Linked DNA regions of Drosophila melanogaster. The gene in region 1 interacts genetically with each later gene. Each region holds a gene or a part of one and is shown in the gene's direction. Other genes may lie near its edges. The genes, in order: Hem, dock and Abp1.

What was found.
Region 2: of Hem (region 1) and dock, changing one enhances a phenotype caused by changing the other (phenotypic enhancement), as found in Drosophila melanogaster (one study listed by BioGRID).
Region 3: of Hem (region 1) and Abp1, changing one enhances a phenotype caused by changing the other (phenotypic enhancement), as found in Drosophila melanogaster (one study listed by BioGRID).

The regions. Positions count from the first base shown.
Region 1 is NT_037436.4:22,283,577-22,290,252, reverse strand, and holds Hem (HEM-protein), read left to right. Parts: upstream 1-2,057; 5' UTR 2,058-2,265; coding exon 2,266-3,445; intron 3,446-3,510; coding exon 3,511-5,711; 3' UTR 5,712-5,899; downstream 5,900-6,676. Other genes in the region: IleRS (Isoleucyl-tRNA synthetase), read right to left, coding at 1-1,249, 1,314-1,456. UniProt on the Drosophila melanogaster protein: Plays a role during growth of the oocyte.
Region 2 is NT_033779.5:824,208-832,105, forward strand, and holds the start of dock (dreadlocks), read left to right. Parts: upstream 1-1,761; 5' UTR 1,762-2,300; intron 2,301-5,097; exon of another isoform or gene 5,098-5,249; 5' UTR 5,250-5,328; coding exon 5,329-5,764; intron 5,765-5,937; coding exon 5,938-6,142; intron 6,143-6,530; coding exon 6,531-6,876; intron 6,877-6,969; coding exon 6,970-7,419; intron 7,420-7,506; coding exon 7,507-7,716; 3' UTR 7,717-7,898. Other genes in the region: CG3862 (uncharacterized protein), read right to left, coding at 226-1,590. UniProt on the Drosophila melanogaster protein: Adapter protein that links cell surface receptor tyrosine phosphorylation to downstream signaling pathways and effectors, many of which are involved in regulation of the actin cytoskeleton.
Region 3 is NT_037436.4:13,482,786-13,488,263, reverse strand, and holds Abp1 (actin binding protein 1), read left to right. Parts: upstream 1-1,983; 5' UTR 1,984-2,406; coding exon 2,407-2,661; intron 2,662-2,723; coding exon 2,724-3,175; intron 3,176-3,236; coding exon 3,237-3,413; intron 3,414-3,475; coding exon 3,476-3,954; intron 3,955-4,017; coding exon 4,018-4,250; 3' UTR 4,251-4,731; downstream 4,732-5,478.

The DNA.
Region 1 (6,676 bases):
CCAATCTCTGGCCTCTTTCAGCCAGTTTCCAAAACGTTTCTCCTTGACGAAGTCCGGCACCCAGTACGTTTGGGAACTGCAATCAAGCAGGTTTTTAGACATGTGCTCGACGCGCACAAACCAGGAAGGAACCGCCTTATAGATAAGAGGCGTGTCTGACCGCCAGCAGAATGGGTAGCTATGCTTCACCTGGCCACTGGAAACCAAGTTTCCTCGTGCCTTCAGCGCGGCCATTATTTGCTTATCAGAATCTTTGACGTATTGGCCCTCGAAATCGCTTGCCTCGTTAGTAAACCGTCCTGCCTCGTCCACTGGGCAGAGAACCTCACTGGACTTTGTGATGAGGCCCGCAGCGAGGCACACACGATAATCGTCTTCTCCGAAGTAGGGAGCATTGTGCACAATACCCGTACCGGAATCCTCAGTCACGTACTCGTCGACCAGGACACGATAAGCTTTCACCTCAGCTCCTCGCTTCGCAAAGTAAGGGAAAAGCGGCTTGTAGTGAAGGTCCTTAAGGGTTTTGCCAACAAACTTTTCCTTCACTTCGTACTCCGTCTCCGATTTGTACACGTAAGAGAGACGAGACTCTGCGAGAACAAAAAGTCGGTCGCTCTTTACGTCGCGCACTTTTACATAGGTCATCGTCGGATGAACACAGCATGCGAAGTTTGAGGGCAGTGTCCATGGCGTGGTGGTCCACACTAGGAAGAAGGTATTGGGCAACGAAACGGCCTCCAGTGCAACTACTACGCAAGGGTCCACAACCTCCTTGTAGTTTTGGTTGGCCTCGAAGTTCGAAAGGGACGTTGTGCAGGCGGTGGAATAGGGCATCACCTTAACGCCCTGGTAGACCAGACCCTTGTCGAACAGTTGCTTGAAGATCCACCAAATGGACTCCATGTACCATGGGTACAACGTCTTGTAATCGTTCTTGAAGTCAATCCAGCGACCCACGCGCGTCACCACATTCTCCCACTCATCTGCGTAACGCATGACAATCTTCCGGCACTCGGCATTGTAGGCTGCGATTCCCATCTTGGCCACGTCCTCAGGACCCTTGATATTCAGCAGCTTGTCAATCTCGAACTCCACGGGCAGTCCGTGGCAATCCCAGCCGAAGCGACGGTCCACATGGTATCCCTGCTGGTATGCGTACCGTGTGACGATGTCCTTGATGGTGCCAGCAAGAATGTGTCCGTAGTGGGGCAGCCCGGTTGCAAAGGGCGGTCCATCGTAGAACGTGTATCTTGGAGGTGGAAAATTAGCACAAAATTTGGCGATCGGCTGATGCAATCGTATGCGGCACTTACTTGGGCTTTCCCTTCGACAGCTGGCTGCACTTTTCAAAGATATTTTCGTGTCGCCATTTCTGCAGTACGTTCTCCTCCTCGGCCGGGAAATTAATGTTCTCTGGCACCCGACACACGTCGTTCCGCTCTAGTTTTTTTCCCATGGCTGTCAAAGTTCACTGTTGTATTATTTATCAAGTAACAGAGCTTATTCGCCCACCTTTTATATCAGAAATTCAACTGACTTGCGGCGTTTTTGCGTGGCACACAACGTGCCCGAGGTACGGAACTAGTGGTTCATTAATCGCTCTCTAGCTCATGGGTTCGCGATATCGATAGTAGGTTCCGATGAGCGGCATCCTTGATAATCAGCTGACGACAGCACTGAAAAAAAAAGAAAGGCTTATTTACTATTAACAACTTTAATAAATTTGTTAGCCATAAGAATAAAAAACTGAACTGTAAGTTACTAAGTAAGAAAGCCATTGGCAATTGAATGAATAAACTATGCAATAGTTTTGAAAGCAATTATTCCTGACTTAGACAAATAATTCTAATAAATTAAAACCCCAAATACCAGCTATTATTAATTTGTAGTATAACCAAATTACTGTAATATATAATTATAAAAAAATTATCTTAAATTATATTAAGCCATATGTTTTTTTTCTCAGCAGTATATTTTCTTTTTAACAATCAATAGTTTAGCATATATATGGTAGCTATCGTTATCGATAGCAATATATCTTTGCTATCAGCCCATTGGTCATCACTAACGCGAAAACAAGAGGAAGAGTAATGTGTACACTTTTGTGTCGCTCCTTTTCGGCCAATTTAACAAACGAAAAAGTATAAGTACTGGGCAAATCAGCACTTGCACGCCTCCCAATACGTCTCGCCAGCGCACACCTGTGTTCTGGGCTCCACCGGAAACTCGCCTTCAGCCATTCGACGTCGCCAACAGTCATCGGATATGGCACGCCCAATTTTTCCGAACCAGCAGAAGATAGCTGAGAAACTAATCATCTTGAATGACCGCGGCCTGGGCATTCTTACGCGGATATACAACATCAAGAAAGCATGCGGCGACACCAAGTCGAAGCCAGGCTTCCTCTCCGAGAAGTCGTTGGAATCGAGCATCAAGTTTATCGTGAAGCGGTTCCCCAACATCGACGTCAAAGGGCTCAATGCTATTGTAAACATCAAAGCGGAGATTATTAAGTCGCTGTCCCTGTATTACCACACATTCGTGGACCTACTTGATTTCAAGGACAATGTATGCGAACTGCTCACCACGATGGACGCCTGCCAGATTCACCTGGACATCACATTGAACTTCGAGCTGACCAAATATTATCTGGACTTGGTTGTGACCTACGTGTCCTTGATGATTGTTTTGTCTAGGGTCGAGGACCGCAAGGCAGTTCTGGGCTTGTACAATGCCGCCTACGAGCTGCAAAACAATCAGGCGGACACGGGCTTCCCCCGCTTGGGGCAGATGATTCTGGACTACGAGGTCCCCTTAAAAAAGTTGGCCGAGGAATTCATTCCCCACCAGCGCCTGCTAACCAGTGCGTTGCGGTCGCTGACCTCCATCTATGCACTGCGAAACCTGCCAGCAGACAAGTGGAGGGAAATGCAAAAGTTGAGTCTGGTAGGCAATCCGGCCATTCTTCTTAAGGCCGTCCGCACTGACACCATGTCCTGCGAGTACATATCCCTGGAGGCAATGGACCGCTGGATAATCTTTGGCTTGCTGCTGAACCATCAAATGCTCGGACAGTACCCGGAAGTCAACAAAATCTGGCTCTCCGCCCTGGAGTCAAGCTGGGTTGTGGCCTTGTTCCGCGACGAGGTCCTGCAAATTCATCAATACATTCAGGCTACTTTCGACGGAATTAAAGGTTACAGCAAGCGGATCGGAGAAGTAAAGGAAGCCTACAACACGGCGGTTCAAAAAGCTGCTTTAATGCATCGGGAGCGGCGCAAGTTTCTTCGAACAGCCTTGAAGGAGCTAGCTCTTATTATGACCGACCAACCAGGCCTCCTGGGACCTAAGGCAATATTCATTTTCATCGGTCTTTGTCTTGCGCGCGATGAGATTCTATGGCTCCTCAGGCATAATGACAACCCACCTCTTCTCAAAAATAAAGGTTAGTTAAGGATTTTCTTACGATTAAATTAAAATTTGTGAACCTTAACTATTTTAAATTTATAGGAAAGAGCAATGAAGATCTTGTAGACCGACAGCTGCCGGAGCTCTTATTCCACATGGAGGAACTCCGCGCTCTTGTGCGTAAATACAGCCAGGTAATGCAGCGATATTACGTGCAATACTTGTCCGGATTCGATGCCACGGATCTTAATATTCGAATGCAAAGTCTGCAAATGTGTCCAGAAGACGAAAGCATAATCTTCAGTTCGCTCTACAACACGGCTGCAGCCCTGACAGTTAAGCAGGTGGAAGACAACGAACTCTTTTATTTCCGACCATTCCGCCTGGACTGGTTCCGCCTCCAAACGTACATGAGTGTGGGAAAGGCTGCACTTAGGATCGCAGAGCATGCAGAGCTGGCCCGCCTACTGGATTCAATGGTTTTCCACACTAGGGTGGTAGATAACTTGGACGAAATACTAGTAGAAACCTCGGATCTCAGTATCTTCTGTTTCTATAACAAAATGTTTGACGACCAATTCCACATGTGCTTGGAGTTTCCCGCGCAGAACCGCTACATCATAGCGTTTCCCTTAATCTGCAGCCACTTCCAAAATTGTACGCACGAAATGTGCCCGGAGGAGCGACACCATATACGTGAAAGGTCTCTCAGCGTGGTAAATATATTTCTTGAGGAAATGGCTAAGGAGGCTAAAAACATTATAACCACAATTTGCGATGAGCAGTGCACAATGGCAGACGCTCTATTGCCAAAACACTGTGCTAAGATTCTTTCCGTACAATCTGCTCGTAAGAAGAAGGACAAATCGAAGTCTAAGCATTTTGACGACATACGAAAGCCGGGAGACGAGTCGTACCGAAAGACACGAGAGGATCTGACGACGATGGACAAGTTGCACATGGCCCTGACGGAGCTTTGTTTTGCAATCAATTATTGCCCCACGGTCAACGTTTGGGAGTTTGCTTTTGCCCCTCGCGAGTATCTCTGTCAGAACCTGGAACACCGCTTTTCCCGGGATCTTGTTGGCATGGTGATGTTCAACCAGGAGACAATGGAGATAGCCAAGCCCTCGGAGCTGCTGGCCAGCGTTCGAGCCTACATGAACGTGCTGCAGACAGTAGAGAACTACGTGCACATAGACATAACACGAGTTTTCAACAACTGCCTGTTGCAGCAAACACAGGCTTTAGACTCTCATGGCGAGAAAACCATTGCCGCTTTGTACAACACCTGGTACAGTGAGGTTCTGCTAAGGCGTGTCTCCGCTGGCAACATTGTGTTCTCCATTAACCAAAAGGCTTTTGTTCCCATTTCGCCCGAGGGCTGGGTACCATTTAACCCGCAGGAATTCTCTGATCTCAACGAGCTGCGAGCACTTGCAGAACTTGTGGGACCTTACGGTATCAAAACATTGAACGAAACACTTATGTGGCACATAGCAAACCAGGTGCAAGAGTTGAAGTCGCTGGTGAGCACCAACAAGGAAGTGCTCATTACACTGCGAACCAGTTTTGACAAACCTGAAGTGATGAAGGAGCAATTTAAGCGCTTACAGGACGTGGACCGCGTGCTGCAACGCATGACGATCATTGGTGTGATCATATGTTTCCGCAACCTGGTGCATGAAGCCCTCGTTGATGTGCTGGACAAGCGCATACCCTTCCTGCTTAGCTCAGTGAAGGACTTTCAGGAACATTTGCCCGGAGGCGACCAAATTAGGGTTGCTTCCGAGATGGCCTCAGCAGCGGGTCTGCTATGCAAGGTAGACCCCACATTAGCAACTACACTGAAATCAAAAAAGCCAGAATTCGATGAGGGTGAGCACCTCACTGCCTGTCTACTGATGGTCTTTGTGGCAGTGTCTATACCAAAACTGGCCCGTAACGAAAATTCCTTCTACAGAGCCACAATTGATGGCCACTCAAATAACACGCACTGCATGGCGGCGGCCATTAATAACATCTTCGGAGCCCTGTTTACCATCTGCGGTCAAAGTGACATGGAGGACCGCATGAAAGAGTTCCTTGCTCTGGCCAGTTCTTCCCTACTGCGCTTGGGCCAGGAGTCCGACAAAGAGGCGACACGGAACCGAGAGTCCATCTATTTGCTGCTGGACGAAATCGTCAAACAATCGCCCTTCCTCACAATGGATCTGCTTGAGTCCTGCTTTCCCTACGTGCTTATACGCAACGCGTACCATGGCGTATACAAGCAGGAACAGATCTTAGGGCTGGCACTCTAAATGGAGCCGATCTGTGTATTCCACATAATGCTTATGTAGTTTATCCGCCGATCGACTATCGATCACTATGCTAATCTAACATACTTTAAAACTGTTAAACATACCCAAATGTATTCTAGACTCTGCATTTTTATACTCGTACGACTTCGAATAAAGTGCTTATACAACCCAAATAAGTATCCCACATTAATAAGCTGTCTCTAGATCGGATCGGTATGTATATTCTTTATTTCGGCTTATTGAAATATGTGTCCACTCCCGCGAACGTGCAGCTCCTCCGCTTCAATTTCTGTTAAATTTCATTTGGACACATGCGCACACGTGTGTGTATATTAAATATGAGTTTGGGGGAAAAATCTTCCGCAATATTAAATTATTTGGTCACGTTCAATGTTACTTTGTAGGCTTGTGTACAAATACTTGTAGGCAAGTAGTAAAATATGTTTTCGTTATTTTGTAATATGATTTCTCAGTAGTTATCATTGGTAGTATTTAAATTTCGATTTTGAGTTTTCAATTCCGATACAAAGACTTTTATGCAATGATTTATTATTGTTTTTAATTCTTTTTGAATTACATGATCTGGGATAGGTTCTTTTTCACGGATGGTTAAATGATAAGTTTTGCAAACCGAAATCGGGTAAGTAGGGCATCTTTTCAAATCTGCTCGTAATCAACATAGGCCTAAACATCTACAAATGGGTTCGGTTAAATGTACCAAAATCACTACACTCTGCTAAAAAGCTGTCAATATTTGAGTTTACATCTGTATTTGTGAACATTCTCGATATCTACAATGGGGTTTCGTTAATTATACACATACTTGCTTATTAATATTATAGAAGGTATTGTTATTTATGTGATGCTGAATATTTTGCTAGTTCGTACAATCTATTTAGCATTTCTCACTGATTTGGTTTTACTTGGTTTCGCATGAAAATGTATTCCTTTTCAGTCAGTCAGTT
Region 2 (7,898 bases), on another chromosome or scaffold:
GCTATTTACAGCAAAAACAACCTGAGGGCGGAAAACATGGCAACTATCAGCATGCGTAAGAGAAACAAGTAAATTAATCTAAATGTTCTTTAAACTACTTACATGTATTAAACGCGAATTTGTGATCTTTAGCAGTGTGATCTTTATTGGTTGGGCTGCCACTGGCAATAGTATTTTCGACTAGAGTATACTTTAAGTTAACTAATCTAAAACAAACAGCTTAATCTAGAAGAACGGCTTGCACAAGGCAATGGTGTGATCCACTCCGTAGGCCACTTTGGTGACCTTTCCGTTGATGGCCGCCTTAAAGGGAAAGAACTGGTCCTTCTTGTGTCCCAGCCCCAGATGCCCGAACCTGTTCTTGCCCCACATGAAGAGATCTCCGTCCGAGTTGACGGCGCCCATGTGAAACACTCCGCATCCGATGGAAACCACTGTGGTTTCGTTGCTGAAGTCATTTCGTCCGAATAAAGGCGGCAACAGATGCTGCGGCTTGGATGTTTGCTCCACGAAGGGTCCGAAGCCGAGGATGCCAAAGCCCCAGGTGTACACCAGACCCTGGTCGTTGAGGGCCATGCAAAATGAGCCTCCCGCAGCCACATCCTTGATTTTCCCGATGGACTTCGTTAGTTTGAGAGCTCTAGGGATATTTATTTGGGTTTCGGCCAGCTCTGAGTCATCTAGCTGTCCGTACTCAGAATTGCCCCAGCCAAAGGCATCGCCCGCCTCGTTAAGGGCCAAAACGCAGTCCGAGGAGCAGCTGAGCCGCACAATCTTCTCCTTTTCCACATCTCCTCCAATCAGGGTTATCTGCCCGGCGGTGTGGTAGTTTCCCTGACCTGTTTGACCATCCGCACCCCAGCCACATGTGTAAATGCGTCCCTTTTTGGTAAGAAACATGCTGTGGTCCTGGCCGCACTCCACCTGGACCACCTCATCCTCCTTGCCGCATATATCTTCCTGCGATATCCTGTGGATCAGGGCACTCTTGCTGTACCGCTCCTCCTCTATGATGGAGCGGCCACATTGGCCGTACGAATTGTTTCCCAGGGTGAAAATGGTTCCGTTTTGGGTCAGAACCACCAGGTGAGCTCTACCCGCCGACATGCTCTTCACACGCATGTCCTCGTCTGTTTCTCCCTGAACTCTCGGCAGTTTAATGGCTGTAGGATAAATGATCACGTCAAGGTTGGCCGGATCATTGGGATTTCCCTTCACCTGGAAACCCAGTTGGGAGTCGGTGTTCAAACCGCTGCCAAAGAGCGTCTCTCCGTCATCTCTATTCACGGCGTAGACCGTGAACCCGTAGCCGGCGGCCACATCCGTGATTTCGTTGTTGTTGGAGAACTGCAAGCGGGTGGGATGGTGCACCATCTCCGTGTAGCGTTCCTTGGCCTTCTTCACGTTGGTCTGGAGACCGAGAGCGCCGGTTTCCTGAAAGCCCCACACGTAAACTCGGTGCTCATGGCTGTCCGTCGTCTTCGGTGAGTACTCCTTGATCTTCGACTTGTCCTGCGCCAGCACACCCCTCTTCGCCTTGGCGGTGTACGACCTGCTGATGCCAAGCACAATACCCCGAGTTTTCAGCATGGTATTTCGGGTTAAACCAACCATGTAATCCAAAATCATAACAAAAACGCCACCCGATATCGATAGACCCGATGACCGGACAAGTGCTGCACAGCGCGCAACGTGCTTATCGATAGTTCGCTAAGAAAAACCGCTGATACGCCACCTGACAGCCCTGGTCGTGGTCAATCGCTATCGCCTTCCGCACATCGAAATCGGATGGGCGACGTGAAAGAAACGGCTCCGGCAAAATCATTAAAATTTAATTAGTTAACCGCAAGAGAGCGCTGCAAAATTGTGCAAACAATTTGCCACTTAACGCAGTTAACGTGTGCGGTAATCAGAAGCGTGGAAAAGCGTTTATTTGTCAGGATTTGTGTGTTTTTCAATCGCGGCAGCAGCATATGTACACACACACAGGCTCACCCCCGCCCCACTCACACACACACACTCACGCCTAGGTGTATTATAATTAAAGTTGTGTTTTAAGTGTGTGTAAAGTGCAATAGCCCAGTGGAAAGTGGAAGTGATATAGAGTGCGTTCCAGGAGTTCCAGGAGCAGTGTCTTATCCCATGTCTTCCACTCCCAAATCCTGAGGATTGCCAAGGGTTAAGACCGAGAAATACGGACTCCGACTTTCCGGATAAGGATACGGATACGGATAAGGAGTGCCAGGATAAGGAGATCCAGGAGGAATATAGGAGTTGCCAGTCCAACCGCTTCGTCTCCGGTAGGTACACACAAAATATTCGGCTGCTCCTTTTTAGCTCCTGTTCGAATCTCTCACGGCTCTCTCTCTCGGCTCTCTCTCTCTCTCTCTTGACCTGCGCTCTCTCTCTTTATCTCGCCCTCGTCACCTGGTGGTGCGTAGTCCTTTGGCTCGGTCCACCACCCGCCCAGTGGGCGGTGCTGCAACCCTTAGCCCTCCGCTTTCCATCACCTTTTTTTGGGTAACCATGGTCGTGTTTACGGCAAACTGTGCCACCGATATATATGTGTGTACATATGTACCCTTTCCCTTGTCTAGATAGATGAAACAGATAAATCGTGAAGATGCTTCACTTACCATAAATCTATAATATGTTCATTGCTCAAATACTACTATAGTAGGTACTTGTGTTTTTCAAAAGCCTGTGCCAGGTACAAAAGCTTGTACTCTTAACAACACTGGGAACGAGTCCTGCCATCCTTTGCAGGACGAGAAGTCCACCCTCTCGCTGCCAAAAAGCCACCACCTCGCAGAGATTTTGCGCAGCATCTCTAAACGAAACGGCCGGCAAATGTCGCAAACTCCCTCGGCAACAAAAGCCAAAAAAAAAATACAAAATACAAAAAACAAAACCGAAACCGAAACCCCATTCGAATCCCATTCCCCAGCAAAAGCATCTACTTAATCAACCCGGGCGGGAGTGGACTCCCAGCTCCCTGAATGAGTGATCTTATGTAAACAGGCTGCCCTTTGCCTCCCACGCCCCGAGATCCAGATAAGAGTGCCCCACTTTCAGTTCCTCCATGGCTGCCCCATCCATCCACCGAAGTCGTAACTCAATGTTATAGACCCAAATGCTCCCGTTTCGGGGCCACCAATTCGTTCGTGATGGCTTTTCTTGGGGACCAATGACTATACTCCCTCGTCTGGAACCGATCTTCAACCAATACACAGACACAGCACGGGGAAACAAACTTTCCGCCTCATAAACTTGTGGGCTTGTCCCCCAAGCACGTGCAACTCTTTCTTTCTCTCAGCGAAAAGACGAACTGCTGTCAGGAAAACAATGAACGAGTGCACCGGAAAAAAACATAAATGTTTGTCATACGGGAAGCTAAGAAATCATACCACAAAGAATTCTTTAAAAATATATATTCATTTATTGCAGTAGCAGTAGGGAATCTTATCAAATCATAGTTCATAATATATTTTTTGACAATTTCTCCGCGCTAACGAACTTATCAGCAAGTTCCTTCCGATTTCTTCGGATTTTATCAGCAGTGTAATGTCAATGTCTCGGCTGTTGGGCTTATGCAAGCGCAAACAATAACAAAACAATCACCAAGCCAAAGAAATCCAAACACCGATCCGAATCCAACGGTGGTGCATTTCAGTTCATTGGCAGCCAGCCAGCCAGCCAGGCGTTTCATGTTTACCAAGTCCCCAAGCGAACCGAACTGAACCGCCCCCTTATCACTCCAGCATTTGCATAAATATAATCTTTTTCGGGTTCTTTCTCCGTTTCTATCTGGGTTCGGTTACGGTTTCACTCCCGCTTTCTCCTCTCAAAAAATAGGGAAAACACACAGACAATTCGCACAACAGTGAATCACTTTGCGACCAATGCTTCGGTTAAACAGGTACTTCTCCGTATCTCTAGCTAACGCAAAAACCTTTGACTAATCGATGGTAAAGTAAACAAAAACACTCGTTATCACATGGAGATTATTATGGCCAAAATTCGAACAGGAAGCACGATTAGAAGTTTACCGGCAAAACAAATTTATGCATTGCCTGCATTTCTTATTATATACGTATGGGTCAGTTGCTAATAGATATTGCACCGAAATGCCAGAATTGAATGGCATTAGAGCTCTCGAAAACACTTTCAGCTGACTCAGCCTCTCGTGTATGACCTAACAGTCATTGAAAAGCGAAACCAAGATTGGCCTAGAGTCAAAGACCGAGTAGAGCGTTTTCTCAACGTGGCCCACACTTATTGATTTTTAATTATCCAAAGATGGCCCTCGGCTATGACATTGACTTTGATTTTGTTGGCTCGCCAACCTGGCCAACGAACTCGGGAAGCCTCTCTAGAGATCTCTGGCCGAAATAACCTTCTGTGCCGCCCGCTAACTGCCTTATGTCACTCGGTAAATCTCGGTTAAGAAACCAATTTCCCAATACCCCCGACCATTCACGTTCGTGACTCATTGCGGTCGAATGTCTCAGTTGATTTCTGTGTCTTTCTTGGCCTGAAATGGCCCGGATTTTGAGTCTCTGGTTCTCCAGCCTCGGTGAGGCTGCCCCGTTGAACAAATCAATACCCGATGGCCACTTATTCGCTCGCCTGGCAATTGGATTCAATTGAGTGGAGTCAGTCGGAGGCAACTTTCACTTGCACAGATTTTAATTGCCCCACAACTGGAATGGCCAGATCCCTCAGCCCCCATATCCATCTCCCGCTCATATTATCATCATCATGATCATCACAACACAAACACTTCACTCATTCATCTTCATCGCCGGCTCGCTGACCCCAAAAACAAACATTCATCTCTCGGCTAATTTTGAGTTGATTTCCTATTTGGTATTTCGAGTTTGAGTACTTGCATTGTATTTTTTAAGCTAATCATTTTTACGCTCTTTAGCTTCTTCAGTGCGAAACAATTAAGCCTAATTTGCATATATCATTTGCTCTCTTTTTCTTTCTTTCTTCGTTCGTTGCTTATGTTATTGCGTTGCTTATGTTTACTTTGCCACGCCTACGCTTCCGCCCACGCTCACGCCCATTCGCCCCCTGAAACCACGCCCACAGCAATTATGCATTGGCTAGAGGCGATTTGCAGCAAGCTTAGAGTGCCAGCGAGCAACTGCAACACATAACCAAACCATCAAAGACTTGTTGTTCATCAACTCCAACCCCAACTCCAAGTCCACCAACACTGAGCCACCGCCTCTTGCCTCCAGGAGCATCACCAGGAGCATCAGGGCAGTCCCAGCTGGAGGAGCAGGAATCCCCCCGCGGCGGAGGAGCAGCCAGTCTGGAATGTTGGAACACCCCCAGCGGTTTGTGCGCAACATCCCCGACTCCTCAGCCAGTTCGCAGCAGTATCCGCAGCAGCAGCAGCATCCGCCACAGCTGCCGCAGCACCAGAATCTGAATCTCAACCAGAATCAGAACCTGAACCAGAATCAGATCTACCAGTACCGTCCCCAGGTGCCCGTGCCCGTTCCCGGCTCACCTGCCCATCACCAGCGGCACTCTTCGCTCTCCCAGCAACAGCAGTTGCACCACCACCGCACCCTGTCCACCGCCTCCTCCTGCAGCGCCCAGCACAAAAGTGTGACCTTCGGCCAGCCAGCGCTCGACTGCGGCGGCAACGGCAGCGGAAGCGCCAACGGAAGCGGTAGCGGCAACTCCTCCAGTGGCAGTGCCGCCGGCAACGCTGGAACCCAATCAATGGCGGGCAACATGAAGCACGGTGAGCAACTGCAACACAATAACCTCACAGCGAGAAGAGCATTGGGTGTAGTAAAAGGATCTAGGATTTGTATGCTAATGAATTTGTGGTTCTATCATACTGGCCCATTTTGCTTTTCTAACTGTGTGTGCACTTGGTACTCTTCTAACCTGTTCCTGTTAATCACTCCGCAGGCAAATCTCAGGACGACGTCTGCTACGTGGTAGCCAAGTACGACTATGCGGCGCAGGGTGCCCAGGAGCTGGATCTGCGCAAGAACGAGCGCTACCTGCTGCTGGACGACTCCAAGCACTGGTGGCGCGTCCAGAACAGTCGCAACCAGTCCGGCTACGTGCCAAGCAACTATGTGAAGAAGGAGAAGCCCTCGCTCTTCGACAGGTGCGTCAGATTCCTGGCCCGACTAAACCTAAGCGTTCTTCTTGCTCTGATTTCAGCAGAATTAAGCCCTCTATACCTGTATCTGTATCCGTATCCGTAGATGTATCTGTATCTCTATCGCGTTCAAATACCCGCCTCCACCTTTTGCTTTGGCTATCGTAATTTAACTTATAACTGCTTTCGGCTTTTGTATTTTGTATTTCAAAACAACAAATTCGTTTTGATTTCGTTGTCTGTCGAGCCCCACTTGCCCCTAAAAACTAAAGATCCACTAACACCCAAACCAACTAGGGCTAGTCTAACCCACTTTAAACCGCCAATGAAATCTAACCATAAAACTTCATCCCAATACTGATCGTGAATATTTTGATTTACGATTTCTGTGCAGCATTAAGAAGAAGGTGAAAAAGGGCTCCGGATCGAAGACACTGCCTAATTGTTCGCCTTCGCGACAGGTCGAGAGTCCAACCATGTCGCGCCGACTTCCCCCAGATCCCGCAGAGGCCATCGGAACGGCTGTGGTCAAGTATAACTATCAGGCCCAGCAGCCCGATGAACTTTCGCTGACCAAGGGCACACGAATCCTCATCCTGGAGAAGTCCAACGATGGATGGTGGCGTGGACAGAGCGGCAATTCCGTCGGCTGGTTCCCCAGCAACTACACAACGGAGGATTGTGATAACGACGGCGAGATCCACACCTACGCAATGGCCGAGAACGTGCTTGATATTGTGGTGAGTAACTGGACGTGTTCTCAAAATAAACATTCACATCATCTATGAGAGGTTGTCATTATTGGCTAATAACAACTATTTTCAAATATATAGGTCGCGCTGTACAGCTTCACGTCAAACAACGACCAGGAGCTCTCGTTCGAGAAGGGCGATCGCTTGGAGATCGTGGATCGGCCCGCCTCCGATCCGGACTGGTACAAAGCTCGCAACAATCAGGGCCAAGTCGGTTTAGTTCCACGCAATTATCTCCAAGAGTTGAACGACTACCTGGCCACGCCCTATCGTAATGCGAGTGCCAGTGCAGGAAACGGAAATGGAGGAGGAAGTAATGGCGGCGCAGGTGGTGGCGGAGGAAACGACTCCATGGAGCGGCGCAATGAGGGTAATAAGCCGGCGGCGCAATCTTCCGGCCAGCCAATCGAGCGGCCAAATCTGGCGGGCAAGTCGTGGTATTATGGAGCCATCACCCGCAGCCAGTGCGACACGGTGCTCAACGGCCACGGGCACGATGGCGACTTCCTCATCAGAGACAGTGAGACTAACGTAAGTGGAATTCGCAATTGAAGTGCCATAACATAGTTCCGCCCGAATTCTTTGAGAGTGTATAAACGAATTCATCCTTTCTTGCAGATGGGAGACTATTCGGTTTCGTTAAAGGCCCCAGGGCGCAACAAGCACTTCCGCGTGCACGTGGAGCAGAACATGTACTGCATTGGGCAGAGGAAGTTCCACTCGCTGGACCAACTGGTCGATCACTACCAAAGAGCGCCCATCTACACGAATAAGCAGGGCGAAAAGCTGTATCTGGTGCGATCGCTGCCGAAGGCCAATGGCACGTAAGCAGGTCCAGGACTGGAGCAGAGAAATCTCAGCATTCATATTACCCGTATTCAACAACACACATATGCAACACAAAGATATACCAAGGCTAACTTGTAGGCAGCTCAGCTCAGCGCGACGTGTAGTTCAATATAGTTCGGTTTGGATATTTAATTATGGACTCAGTTTTGGATTAGATCAGA
Region 3 (5,478 bases), 8.8 Mb from region 1:
ATTAACTAGGCATGAAATCGTTTGCAAAACGTTTTGTTACATTTTGTTTCTTTATATAATGTGACTTTGATAGTCTAGAATATAATGATGTTTTTATGTAAGCAAAAATCTTGACATCTATTAAGACTTATCAGTTTAGCAGACTTGTAGAGTTTTCCAAGTTCATTCACATTAAATCCATTCAGAAATTATTTTAAATTTGTAAAGAGCTACTACTAATTTGAATCACTGCTTTACATTCCCATGAATGTTTTAGACGCAAGATGTTCATATTACTGGGCATTTCTTTCTGTGTCTGACACATTGTTGAAATACTTTCCGAGTCTTCTTGGCTCAAAGGTGAAAGCCATAAAAGAGCTGTGTATAACCCCCACCCCCACTGCCCCGTTTGGGTTGAGTACATCAGGGCATGTTGTTGGCCAAGTTGAAATCATAAAAATTGTCGACTCTTTTTAAACGGAATTGGTTAATGGCTCCAGTTGGTGTTTTTTTGTTGGTCTGTAAGTCTGGGTCGGATCGGTTTGTTCACTTACCGCTGGGATTGTTTTGCACCATGGTCGCCGCTCTAGAGAGTACATCCAGCGCCGTTTCCATGATGATCTCAACGCTTCTACGTGGGATTGGACGTGGATTTGGAGTTGGACTTGGACTTGGTTTCGCTGCTCCTGCACCGACTCGATCTGCACCGCATGAGTTTCACACTGAAAATGCAAAGAAATTGACCATGAACAGCCGCACCACACACACTTAAGCCGCACACACATCTCTCTCGTATGTGTGCCTTACAATATATACACCGAGATATCCAAGTGAAAAACTGGATATATCGCCCGAGCCTGGCATTGGCATATATGTAAATGGAACAAAACCAAAACCAAAGCCAAAACCAAACCAAAGCGAACAAAGACTGACTGCCTGACTGGCTGACTTGAAACAAGTAAGACGAAGGCGAAATCCTGCTGCCAAACAGTTGCCATCTGATCGGAAAGCTGTGGAAGTGGATGCTGATGAGGGGACATGCACGGTGGCGGGGCGGTGAGGGGCCACGATGCACTTGGGACTGGTTTTTTTCGGAGGCCCCAAGACCAAGAGTTCGGGGGCTGCTCCGTTGAATATTTCGGCAATGACCAAAGTACAGCAGCCAGAGCCATATTGTTGCTAGCCAGTCAGCCAACCATACAGCCAGCCAGCATCCGACGTCTAGTTTCCACATTAATATACGTAAATATCAGGCCACAACAGTGGAGCCACTTTACCTTTCGCCAGGTGTGCGCCTTCAAATCCTCGCTGGAATCCTGCTCCTCAGCTGTACGGCGATTTATCCTCGCTAATTTTCACCGACTTTTCACGATTTGCGCTGGGAAAAGCGGGGGTTCGATGATTTTTGGTATAATTGCAATAATAGTTCAGTTCGCGTTAGAGCTGGAAGATACGTCGATGTAACATCGATGGCCAAAGTCATCAGTCTGTATTCACATCGATATTTGCTCAGCCTTACCAACACTAATATTGTTCAGCGGTGACTTAAGCCCACATATAACATTAGCGTTGACTCGAACCATTTTTAGAAAACTTAATGTACAAACAATGTAAACATACCTAACAACCTAAAACATATTATTTGTCAATAGTATTTGCAAAGTATATTATAAGCAAATATAAAGGTTATGATATGAATAAACACCATATACCAGTTTTTTCCATTGGATAGAGATACAAAAAAGTTGAATAAAATATAAAAACGAAAAATGTTCGTATGTGTGATTATTAAAAAAGAAGATAATGCTTATATATATAGTTGAAACTTTACGACTAACACCTATAAGAAAAACGATAAAGTAAATCAAAGCCTATTAGACGAGGTACACGTTACTAGATACGTTCTAAAACCTCTGTTATTTAATTTCAATTTTACAAGTAAAAACCATCGATAGCGGCACAGTGGCAACATTGAAAGTATCGATTAGACATCGCCTGTTGTCCCAGCTCTAGTTTGTTGTTGCAAAAAAAGTGTGTGGGTCGCCGCCAGCGATCGAATATTTTAAAATTCCAATCAAATTGGTTAATTGGGGAGTTGCAATTGCTTGAGCGTTAAGTTAAACCTATTTCTGCACGCATAACTCGAAGGATTAAGGTGGAAAAGTGGAATTTGGAAAGCCGCTGGAAATTCGCACATACTGGAAAATCAATCACCCACTATCCCATTGTTCTGCTTGTGTTTGTGTACGTCTGTGTGCCTTTGTGAGGCGGCTGCACTTAATTAAAATTTAAGACAAGACAACCCAAGCAAATTTGGAGTCTTCGCGAGGCGTTGGCTTTCACTTGACGAAGAGGGCACCCCGATAAGGCGACCCAGTGAAAGCTGGCCAAGATCTCGCTGCTCAAGGTCGTTGTCAGTCTGGAATTATGGCCGTCAGCTTCGAGAAGAATCGGGCGCAAATAGTGGCCGCCTGGAAGGATGTGCTGGACGATAAGAGCGACACGAACTGGTCCCTCTTTGGCTACGAGGGTCAGACCAACGAGCTGAAGGTGGTGGCCACCGGCGATGGCGGCGTGGATGAGCTAAACGAAGACCTAAATAGCGGCAAGATTATGTACGCCTTCGTCCGAATCGAAGACCCCAAAACGGGCCTCAACAAGTACTTGCTCATCAACTGGCAGGTGAGTCCGACGGCGCCCTTATCTAATCGAGCTACGCATAATCTGACTGTGCTCCCATTCAGGGCGAGGGCGCACCTGTTCTACGCAAGGGTACCTGCGCCAACCACATACGTGATGTGAGTAATTTGCTGTCCGGCGCTCACCTTACCATCAATGCCCGGAACGAGGACGATATTGACTTGGATCGGCTTCTCAAGAAGCTGAGCACCGTGAGCTCAGCCTACAGCTTTAAGGAACCTCGAGGCGCCATGGAGGAGCAGAAGGCGCCGGTGGGAACCAACTATACTCGGGTCATTCCCACCAAGGAGTTAAACGCCAGCGTTATGCAGGACTTCTGGAAAAAGGAGGAGGCCGAGGAGAAATTGCGACAGGAGGCAGAGAAGGAATCCAAGCGGCTTGAGCTTCAAAAGTTGGAGCAGGAGCAACGTAGTCGCGAGGAGAAGGAGCACAAGGAGCGGGAGAAGTTGGTCATAAGCACCACCAAGCTCCAGCCGGCCCACGTACCCATCAAAACGTAAACAAAAACATCGGAATTTGACCTTCTCGGTAGTAAAAATTCTTTTTTTATCAAACAGGTCACCGCAACCTTTGAGCCCTGAGAAAACTGCACCAGGATTTGCCAACAATCTGACCGATGCGGAGCGCATGCGTCAGGCGAGGAACCAGGAGGCCCGCGAATTGATTGGCTCTCGTGTGGGTGCTGCCAAGGCCATGTTTACAAAGCACACGAGCGAGGGACAACTTCAGTCTAAGTGCGTCCTTGCCCCTCTCCTATTTTGTTGTATCAGAAATAAACTGCTCTTTTGATTCATAGACTAAATACGCAACCGCCGGCCAAACCAGCTCGCAACTCGATTGCCCAGCGCATCAACGTTTTCAACCAAAACCAGCCTCAAGATGCACCTGTGCCTTCACCACCACGCGCTGCGTCCCCTGCCAAACCGTTGCCTGTAGAGGCTCCCGAACCAGTAGTCCCCGCTCCAGCTATAGCTCCTGCTGCTCCCGTGGCTGCCGAGGTTGTTTCCACAATAGCGGAGGTGGAGGAGTCGCAACCGGTAGACGATTTGCCACTGGCCCATGAGAGCGAACAGTTCTCGACTATCAAGCGATCACCCCATAGTAAATCGAACTCGCTGCAGTCTCAGTCGCCCGACGAGACCACCTCTTCCAATGAAACAGACACCGCTGTTTCCCAGGAACAGGAAGAGGAGGTCCGCACCAAGGTGTCAGTCACCGTGCAGCAGTCGCAATCGGTCAAGTCGAGCGGCATGAGCACACTCGAAAGGAATGCATGTACGTAAACCATAGCTATGACCCGTTGTTCGTTCTATATTTAAACACGAGTGTTTTTTGTAGTAACGGATTTGGTAAACGAGGACGATTTTATCTGCCAGGAGACCTTAGGCGATCTGGGACAACGGGCACGAGCTCTATACGATTACCAGGCAGCCGACGAGACAGAGATCACTTTCGATCCAGGCGATGTCATTACGCATATCGATCAAATCGACGAGGGATGGTGGCAGGGACTGGGCCCTGATGGAACCTATGGACTGTTTCCGGCAAACTATGTCGAGATCATCAACTAGGGAAACCCAAGTGCCAAGCAGCTGGGACGCCCTTTTGCTAAATATCTACACCAATGCAGCTAGCAACTATATTTTGGATCCGGACTATAGCTACTTAAACACTTTACCCCATAATCTTGAACAATAATGCGATACACCTAGAAGAGATTCAACGATGACTAAATGCGACTATAAGATTTTTATCGTACATCACGCGTCTGTTTTTTATCTACATACATATTATTATATAACGTATAATCCATGCCACATATGCAACCCTATCATACGTTGTTCCCATTTGTATACATATTATATCATTGTTTGGCCTCGATTGCCGAAGCCGTGTTGCGTCCTTTTAAAATGTTCTTAGGATACATACAAAGTAACCACTTAGTCAGTATTTAAGGCCCGCTCCATTCCCGATCCAGGGTTCTTTTGTATATGTATTATTGATCGAGATTTATAACCTTTTCGATAATAAACTTTGATAATTGTGCAACCGAAGGATAACACAGTTTTATGGTCAACAATATCTACATTTATTTTCGCATTAATTAGTAGCATAAATAGTTATCATAGTTTTTTTTTTTTTTCTATAAGAGTTTACGTTCGTTTAACAATTCACCTGCAGCAAAGCCGTGAGTGGTGCACTCGGCGTGATTGGATGGATGAGTTGGCCTGTGGCAAGCAAGCGCGTCTGCTGTAGATTTGTATGAGATCATACGGCGGCTTGCTGCCCCTGTTGCTGCTCATCGGTACAATTTACGTATAAAAACTGGACTCAGGTTCAAAAATATCCTCATGGTGATCATCTATCGCTTAAACATAATCAGCTCTTTTAAGTGAAGCAACCCTTGTTGCCAAATCGTTTTCGCTCTGTTAACTTCCGAATTCTATGCAGGCACATTTTCTCAATATTAATTCTCTTACTAGCCTATAATCTACGCTGTGTGGTGTGTGTGTGTGTGTGTGTGTGTTATGATGTGTGGGGATGAGTGGGTGTTGAGTGGTTGACACGTGAGATTTGCATATGTTTAGATAGTACGGTTGTGCTTCTACGAAATACTAGCAAAGATTCGTCGCCAGCTCCTCCTATTCACATTCACATTACACATCAAATTCACTTTCACATTTACTTTGAATTCAGTAAAATCAAGTCTGTCGCTGTCCGTTGATGAGTCGGGATCGGAACTCTTCTCTATCCTCCGCCTGTTGTCACTTAAATTTGGTTAATTTGCGTAGCTGCTTC